Linked DNA regions of Arabidopsis thaliana. The protein of the gene in region 1 purifies or fractionates together with the protein of each later gene. This does not show direct contact. Each region holds a gene or a part of one and is shown in the gene's direction. Other genes may lie near its edges. The genes, in order: PDX1.1 and EMB1241.

The links.
Region 2: the proteins of PDX1.1 (region 1) and EMB1241 fractionate together in Arabidopsis thaliana (co-fractionation; one large-scale study listed by BioGRID). This does not show direct contact.

Annotation. Positions count from the first base shown.
Region 1 is NC_003071.7:16,009,057-16,013,015, forward strand, and holds PDX1.1 (pyridoxine biosynthesis 1.1), read left to right. Parts: upstream 1-2,176; 5' UTR 2,177-2,418; coding exon 2,419-3,348; 3' UTR 3,349-3,459; downstream 3,460-3,959. Other genes in the region: APD3 (RING/U-box superfamily protein), read left to right, coding at 261-353, 430-512, 614-766, 859-934, 1,041-1,290, 1,407-1,482; AT2G38240 (2-oxoglutarate (2OG) and Fe(II)-dependent oxygenase superfamily protein), read right to left, coding at 3,667-3,915. UniProt on the Arabidopsis thaliana protein: Catalyzes the formation of pyridoxal 5'-phosphate from ribose 5-phosphate (RBP), glyceraldehyde 3-phosphate (G3P) and ammonia. The ammonia is provided by PDX2.
Region 2 is NC_003076.8:5,838,620-5,843,778, reverse strand, and holds EMB1241 (Co-chaperone GrpE family protein), read left to right. Parts: upstream 1-1,920; 5' UTR 1,921-2,139; coding exon 2,140-2,391; intron 2,392-2,953; coding exon 2,954-3,469; intron 3,470-4,006; coding exon 4,007-4,219; 3' UTR 4,220-4,440; downstream 4,441-5,159.

The DNA of each region.
Region 1 (3,959 bases):
TAAAGAAAAACCTAAAAGATCTTCTTTGTTGATGTGAACACGTAACCGATAAACCCTTGGGAAAACCGAATATTTAAATAAACCTGTTTCCCTCGTTGTTTTCTAACAATCGAGACTTCATTTGTGTATAGTATATACTTGAATAGGAAAATAACTTTGAGTGAAGTAAGAGGAAATAGAGGAAGTAGAAGTGTTAATGTTAGTGAGTTTTTTTTGTTTGAAAGTATTGCCTTTTAGGGATATAAACTGACTATGTTAAGGCTCTCAAGTTATAGGAATGCCATTCTTCTATCGGTCGTCGCTGAAGGATATTGCATTTCGTGACACCGCTTGGTCATGGAATCTAATTCAGGGTTAGTCAAATGGAAGTTCCTGCTTAAGATGCATTGATTACATTGCTTATCATGAGTTAATAAAAGTTCTTTACAGGGAGTGGTATGATTCAATTGGATATAAGTAAGTCTAAAGGTTATTATCTTACTGTGGCTAACTTGAAGAGGAAGGACATAGAGGTAATTATAATCAAGTTATGACTTTGGATTAAGTTTTGGTTTCTGTTGTGTTTCTGCACAGTCCACAGTACACTGTTTTACTTGACATAATGTTTGTTCAGGTGGAACTGGATATTGATGTGAAGGCTGTCTTGTATGATACTAAACAAACATCCTACAATTGTTCCTTCAGCAATGGCGAGTGCTCATTCAAAATGAATGAAAGGTACCCTGTTGAAAATTATGCTGTCGTAACTTCACCAGCACTGGGTCAGGTATGTACTCGTAATACGAAACACTAACAATATTGTTACTGTTATTATTATTATGACTCTTAGCTGAATGAATGTTTGTCTCACTGCCTTAGGGAGTATCCATCGATGATGAATGGTATATCGAGTTGTCATATCAACCTAGATTGATTGCATATGGAAGCTTCACAGGTAAACTTTTCAATCTTTTCAAAGTCAACTTGATTATTGGATTTGAGCATTTGTTAGTTTCTCTGTAACAAGGAAGCAATTACATGTAGTATTATTGCGTATGCAGGTGTGTTGCTTTCCTTCATGCTGGTAGCTATACACTTCTGCAACAAGTTAAAGTGCTGTGGTGGAGAGGGATTTTTATCCGGAGATGATTCAGTGAGAACATGTCTACTTGCAGACAAAGGTGACAATGATTGTTGTAATGATGTCGAAGCAAGTAACAAAAGTCTCTGTGCCATTTGTTTTGATGCTCCAAGAGATTGTTGTTTCCTCCCGTGTGGCCATTGCGTCTCCTGTTACCAATGCGGAACAAAGTAAGTTTTTTATCAACTAAGTACAACTTCTGGATTGCATAATTGTAATGGTAATGTGTTTACCATATTGGGATTGATCTAAAATATTGAACGTTGTGATTTGACAATATTTGCAGGATAAAAAGAACCAAGGGGAGGTGTCCAATATGTCGAAAGAAAATGATACATGTGAAGCGAATCTATACAGCTTAAGATGTATCATTATCTGTCCAATGTGATGTTGAATCGTTAGAGCATTAATAAAAATCATATAATTTGATATTGACAAGGCTCAGGTCTTTCTTTGCATTAATTCGTTTCATCTCTTAACCATCTTTGTGACAACATCATTGGTTAACTACCATAGGGTAGGCAATATAGTGAACCATTGTTTGTTGACTCACATCACAAAATGGTTCGAAACCCGAATCGATAATTAAGGATTTCATAAATTAATTGTTAATTTCTGAATAAATTCGGATTTTGTATATTTCCTCCGTTTCGTAATATAAGTAGTTTTGGACCAATTTTTTTGTTTCACAACATAAGTTGTTTTTAACTTTCTATGTAAATAATATATTATTTTAATATTTTTTGATTATTTATATTATGTAATCTCTTTTATGATTAGCTAAACTTTTTAAAAATAAATATTTTTAATTTGCATATTTTTATTTAAAACAACGTATATTGTGAAATGGAAAGAGTATAAATTATTGATTAAATAATTAAGGACTGTAATTTATTTTATTAAATTTAATATTCTTTTCCAAATTCTCCACATATTTTATACCATAAAAAAAGAACAACACCCTTACACACATAACATATCCGAATCAGTGGTTCTTCGACATCACACGATGGTATAGGGAAATGAGCTTCCACGTCAACAAGATAATAATCTCTTCGGGACTATACATTTACAACAAAAAGAAACAAATCTTGTGGTCAAAGTTTCCATACGTAGCTTCTCTTCTCTACACTCACGTCCACCACAATCCTCGTGCTCCTTCCTCTAAACCCGTCCGATTCACGTACTTTTACTATCTTTTCTCAATCCAACAGCTCACAGTCCACAAACAAATTTCAAATCGCGTCCTATAAAATCCCCTCTCCTCTGCTCCACACTCTCTCAAAACCCTAGAAAAAATGGCAGGAACCGGAGTTGTGGCGGTGTACGGCGAAGGAGCCATGACGGAGACGAAACAGAAATCTCCCTTCTCCGTGAAAGTTGGTCTCGCTCAGATGCTTCGTGGCGGTGTAATCATGGATGTCGTCAACGCAGAGCAAGCTCGAATCGCTGAAGAAGCTGGCGCATGCGCCGTGATGGCTCTTGAACGTGTTCCCGCCGATATTCGAGCTCAAGGCGGTGTTGCTCGAATGAGCGATCCAGAGATGATCAAAGAAATCAAAAACGCCGTGACGATTCCGGTGATGGCGAAAGCTAGAATTGGTCATTTCGTTGAAGCTCAGATCCTGGAAGCAATCGGAGTTGATTACGTCGACGAGAGTGAAGTTCTCACTCTCGCCGACGAAGATAATCACATCAACAAACATAATTTCAAAATCCCTTTTGTTTGTGGATGTAGGAATCTCGGTGAAGCTTTAAGGCGGATCCGTGAAGGAGCCGCCATGATAAGAACCAAAGGTGAGGCTGGAACTGGTAACGTTGTTGAAGCCGTTAGGCACGTGAGGAGTGTGAACGGAGCTATTCGGTTACTTAGAAGCATGGACGATGACGAGGTTTTCACTTACGCGAAAAAGATCGCTGCGCCGTATGATTTGGTTGTGCAGACTAAGGAGCTTGGGAGGTTACCGGTGGTTCAGTTCGCTGCTGGAGGAGTGGCGACGCCGGCGGATGCGGCGTTGATGATGCAGTTGGGATGTGATGGAGTGTTTGTTGGGTCGGGTGTTTTCAAGAGTGGAGATCCGGTGAAGAGGGCTAAGGCTATTGTTCAGGCGGTTACGAATTATAGAGACGCGGCGGTGTTGGCGGAGGTGAGCTGTGGTTTAGGTGAAGCCATGGTTGGTCTTAATTTGGATGATAAGGTTGAGAGGTTCGCTAGTCGTTCTGAGTAACCAATCAAATTTCAGATGTTTTTATCCATAACGTTTGTCACTTTAATATGTATCCACAAACCAATATTCTCGATTTATTCAAGATTTTATAGAAAAAAATTGGAAATGAGGAGTTTTGTTGGCTAGTGTGGCCAACCATAATTTCATTGGATTAATGGCAAATTCTACAACTAAACTATGTGAAATTAACAATATCAAACCTCAAGAGAGAGCAGCAATATAATAAGAAAAAGTGAAGATACGGTTTACATATTATTTAGTAACGACTATATCAAGGACATAGGAATAACAGATAATACTTGGAATGTTTATCAATTATTATCTAGTTAATAACAGTGAGTCGACTTGGTTTTTTCCACAAGGACCCTTTTGCCTTATCAGAGAACGGTACTCGTCGAACCTGATTGGTTTATAAAGAGCAGGTCGGTTTGCAGTTACTAGTTCTTCGATTGGTCCAACCGGGATATCACTTCTCGGGTTATAGAAGAATGCCAAAGAGACTCGTTCCATACCGGAATTAACGATCACTTGATGTTCCACGCTTTTGTAAATTCCATTGCTAAGTATCTACACATTGATATATCCATCGGTTAGTATTTAATTTGTAGAGT
Region 2 (5,159 bases), on another chromosome or scaffold:
AAAATATATACTATATGTAGGCTATTTGGGAATATCTTATACACTTTTTTGTAAGAAAATTAGACATATTTATCTATTGTTTTTAAAAAAAAATTGTAAAAAAACGAGATCTAAGTTTATTGTCAAGTTAAACAAATAGAGAATTACGGGACGATAAAAAGAAGGAAACTAAATGATTAGAGACTTTATTTTTATTTTTCTCAATCGACGTGATGACCAATTTGATACAGACTCATAATCTATATGATATACCCAGGTGGAAGACCCATGCGTTGCATGCGTTAGAATTAATATAATAAAATACAACCTGTTGTTTAGCTGTTTCTAATTAATATTGAAATATGTTTAGCTGTTGAAAACATATAGAGGTTACCTTTTATTTTTCTCTAACTTATTCATCTCATCTAGTTTATCCAACTCTTTTTTATTATTCAGCTTATCTTTATTCAACTTATCAGTACTCATTTTATTCAGCTAGTTCAATTTGTTAATCACCATTGGAAACTTTTTAGGTGTTTATTTTTAGAAAATACTCTTCATTAAATCTCAAAAGTTCATAAAGTTTTTGGTGTAAACTACTAATTGGAGATTCGATCTAATGTTTTATAAAGTATTTTATATGGTTTAATAAGATTTTAGAAGGTATTTAAAAATGTTTTACAAGGTATTGTTTTACAAGGTATTTATAAGTTATTTTTATACTGTATTTATAAAATATTTATAAGTTTTTACACACATATAAAAGTAGTTTGTATACTTTAATAAAGTTACACACATATTTGAATAAACCTCATATTCTTAGGAGTACTTTTAATAAACAATTAGAAATATAATATTTTTGAAAAGTGGTATTCGAAAAGATGCTTTTGAAATTCTTCCTTTATTTAGCTTCCAATTCTAAACATTTGAACTAAACTATTTGATATTCAATTTTAAAAGCTTATATGGATTGTCACCTCCAAACATATGCTAGATATTTACTTGAGAATTTTTGATAAACATCTACTTACAAAATTTTAACTAAAATAATATATTGAGAAATTGGAAAATGAAAAAGTAAAATGGTCGAAGAAGAATATCTTTTATGATATGTTAGCCTCAACAACGGGTGATATTTAATAATTAGTTTAAAACTTTAGTCACTTTGTAGTTAATACTTCTGATTTAGGATTAAGGTCCGTTGCACCCACTACTTCTGACAAAACTAAGTGTGCGGACTTAGAAAATAGATTAAACATGGATGGTCTCCTATCTCTTTGTTGTCAACCCAAACCGGCAAACCCTGATATTCTCTTATTACTTTTCATCTATAACATATTGAGTACTAGTACTTGACCAAAACAAACATTTAACTATATAGTACATCTCTTTGGGCTTAAGGAAACCCTTTTGTAAATAAAGCCTAAGCCCAAATTGTAGAACTAGTTATAGTCAATAACACAAAATTGCTTCTAAAAATTTCCCAAATCTCAAGTCTTATTATGTTATTTTCAACAACGATATGCATGAGATCATGATACAATTTGAATCTGCAATAACAAAACTGATACAAATTGGTAAAAACATATTTTATTGTCGAAAATGTTTGAAACATTCAGATCCAAAAGAAAGGCAAGGCGAAATTGATACAACTACAAATCATTCAAATATTCTTATGTCAGAACAACAGTTCCTGGATAAATTTGCTCCCACTTGAAGAAAAGTGTAGTCATCGCTAGAGAAGATGAAGAGATTCGTGATGAAGTGGACTTGGAAAAAGAGTTGAACCATAAGAGTGGAAGACAACTTACAAAGAGTTTGGAGACATCATACCAGGAATCAGTTAGATCATTGGCATAGAACATCGAACAGCCTTCTCGAGTATTAATTTACAGAGATTTTATTGTATTATATAAAATATTCACAAAACTGTAGAAGTTTCAAGAAAATCTAAATCCGACGGTTGAAAAACTCCCTACGTAATCTCTGTTGAACAACAACGGTCCGATCAACATAGTAAAAACGAAAAGTAAATCCAACGGTTAAAAAAACGAAACAAAACAAAAGATCCGACGAGGAAGAGTAGAACCGTTTGCCCTCTCTCTCTCTATCTTCCTTATCTCTCTCCGCCACTCTCCTTCTCTTTCTCCGAACTCTTCGATGGCCGGTCTACTCAAAACGCCGTCTTTACATCTCACACCAACTCTTCTTCATGCTCCTTCTGTACCCTTTAAGCCCTTTTGCGTATCTTTCGCCGGAGGAAGAAACGTTAGCGTCTCACTCTCTCGCCGAGCTTCTCTCCGGTCTGTCTCTAGCGGCTATCCTCTCCGCTTACTAAACCTCGTACCCTTTGCTTCGGGAGAAGCTGAGACGACGGAGACGGAGGTGGAATCGAACGAACCCGAAGTTCAGGTTTTTCGATTTCGGCTCACTTCTGTTCAACTTTCTTGGGGGTTATTTCATTGTTAGTTCGGTGATTAGGGTTTCGAATTTGGGATATGGTAATTTAGAATTGCTTGTTGTTTGCTTAAATTTTTAAGCTTTATTGATTATATTACCCTCTGAAGGAACGTTCACATGAATTAGAGCAATGAATAGGATTGTATTCAGTCTATTCAGGAGTCAAATGGTGAATGCTAATGTTTCTTAGGATATACCAAATCCGATGAATGACAGATTTCATATTCTTGTGGTATGGTGTGTTCCCAAAATGAAGGAGTTTCACTAGTAGTTTAAGACCATGGTGTGTATGTACTATCCAAATCGAATTTTGATTTCGTGATTCTTGTATGGGGGCCACAGAATGTTCTGAAGCTTTTTTGGTGTTAATCTGATTGTTTAGGAGGTCATTAAAAAATTGTGTCGTTAGTGTGTGTTCTGTCTCAGCTTTTATCAGGAATAGATAGGAAACGTCTATGTAAACTGGATTGCTCTTTTTCTGATTTTTTGTTTCACTTCTGAAATCATGGAGCAGGAGACGGATGGTGCTGTTGATGTCGAGAATGAAAATGCCAGTGCTGAGGAGGGTGAAGCTGAGGAAGAAGAAGCAGCTGTTATCACAGCGTTGCTGAAATCCTATAAAGAAGCTTTAGCAGACAACAACGAGGGGAAGATTGCTGAGATAGAAGCATCTTTAAAGTCCATAGAAGATGAAAAATTTCTGCTTGCGGATAAAGTAGCGTCTTTATCCAATGAGTTATCGGTGGAGAGGGATCGGCTTATAAGAATCAGTGCAGATTTCGACAACTTCAGGAAGAGGACTGAGAGGGAAAGGCTAAACCTTGTTTCAAATGCTCAAGGAGAGGTTGTAGAGAATCTTTTGGCTGTTTTGGATAATTTCGAGAGAGCTAAATCCCAAATTAAGGTGGAGACTGAGGGAGAAGAGAAAGTCACTAATAGCTATCAGAGCATATACAAACAGTTTGTAGAAATTCTGGGATCACTTGGTGTTATCCATGTGGAGACAGTCGGCAAGCAGTTTGATCCAATGGTTAGTTACTATGATATCTTTTCTTCTTTCCGGAGATCGACAACTGTATTTTTGTTGCTCAGCTTGCTGGTGGTTTTAATTTTTAACTATGGACGTGATCTTTAAAATCAAAGTTGTTTTGGAAGTTAGGATAATTCGTTGCTATAGGGCTGCCGGAATAATCTTGAGCAGAACGTAGATATGGTTGTTACTTTGAAAGTTAGCTACATCAGATGGATGGAACAAATTATGCTGAATGATACTTTTGTGATGCAAATGATCAATAAATCTTTGAGGTTTAGGATCACTTATCTCAGTTAGATGCCTTTTGGTTATCGCAAAGCTTGAAATACATAACCACTTATGCGTCTAGTCCTAAGCATGAATCTGCTAAAGTTTTGGAGACTTTAGATGTAAGATGTGGTTGTTACTTTTGCAAGTTGGGTTTAAATGACAATGAGTTGGTAGATATCCTTTTGTTTGTTGGTCTTTTCAAGTCCCTAACAGCTGACATCTCTTTTTTATCCTTTTGCTTTTCTCGTTGTTGTGTGAAAAAAGCTACATGAGGCAATAATGAGAGAAGACTCTGCGGAATACGAAGAGGGTATAGTACTAGAAGAATACAGGAAAGGTTTCTTGCTAGGTGAAAGGCTTTTACGTCCTTCAATGGTGAAAGTATCAGCTGGACCTGGACCAGAAAAGCCCCTTGAAGCTGAAGGAGAAGAAGCCACAGCACAAGGAAGCGCAGAAGAAGAATCATCTTCATCTTGAAATTGAAGATGATCAAGACTCAGCAGTTTTGTGTGCGTGTGTGTGAGAGAGATACAGAGATAAAAGAGGGAGAGGTCTGTTTTACCATTATTGTTGTTATTGTTATTGATACGTTATATCATTTCTACAGAGTCTAGAAGTAATATAGATCGACATTTTTAATGAATTCTTAAGTATTCAATCCGAAAGGGAATGCCATAATTGATTTTTTTTCATCTCTCTATACACAGCTAGAAAATTCGGAAGATTCAGAGAAAATGTTGATAATTGGAAGTTTGGAACAAACAGAAAGTCAATACAGTAAATTGTATTTGAGTACTATGGCCTACGAGTCCAAATTATTGTCCAAGTTTTCTTCTTTTGGTTAGGGTTCTTTGGGTACTTAAATATCTTAAAGAGGAGTTGTCCATTTTGTGTAAAGAAATGTTAGGGCCATGTATGTTGGGTATCTTGGATTGGATTTTTTTTTCTTCTTTCTTTTGTTATTTTTTGGATATTTCTAGTAACGTTGGGATCCATGCATAATGCATTAAACCGGGTAATAGAATAAATAGTGTCATACAGTGAAAGTGTGAAACAATCAATAGTAAATTTTATCCTCAATGATGATAATATATCACATAATTTTTGGATCGGATACGAGGTGTAATCGGCCGGTCCATCTTTAGTCTCCTAGGACAATGCATGTCTTGTGTGAACGTACAAGTACAAATGTTGATTTGCGGTTCTGTTCCGGTTTTTGGTTATCAGATTTCAATTTTTGGAGAAACGTGTTAACCAGAAGCGAACCGAATATATTTGTATCCAGTTGTTGACTAACAAATGTTACAGAATTGTTTTGTTGTCAAGAAGTAAGTAGAGTTTATGTATCAGTTATGATTTTCAAAGTTTGCGAGGAGAATCTTTTCCAGATTTTTTTTGTTAAACCAAGACAAGAGTT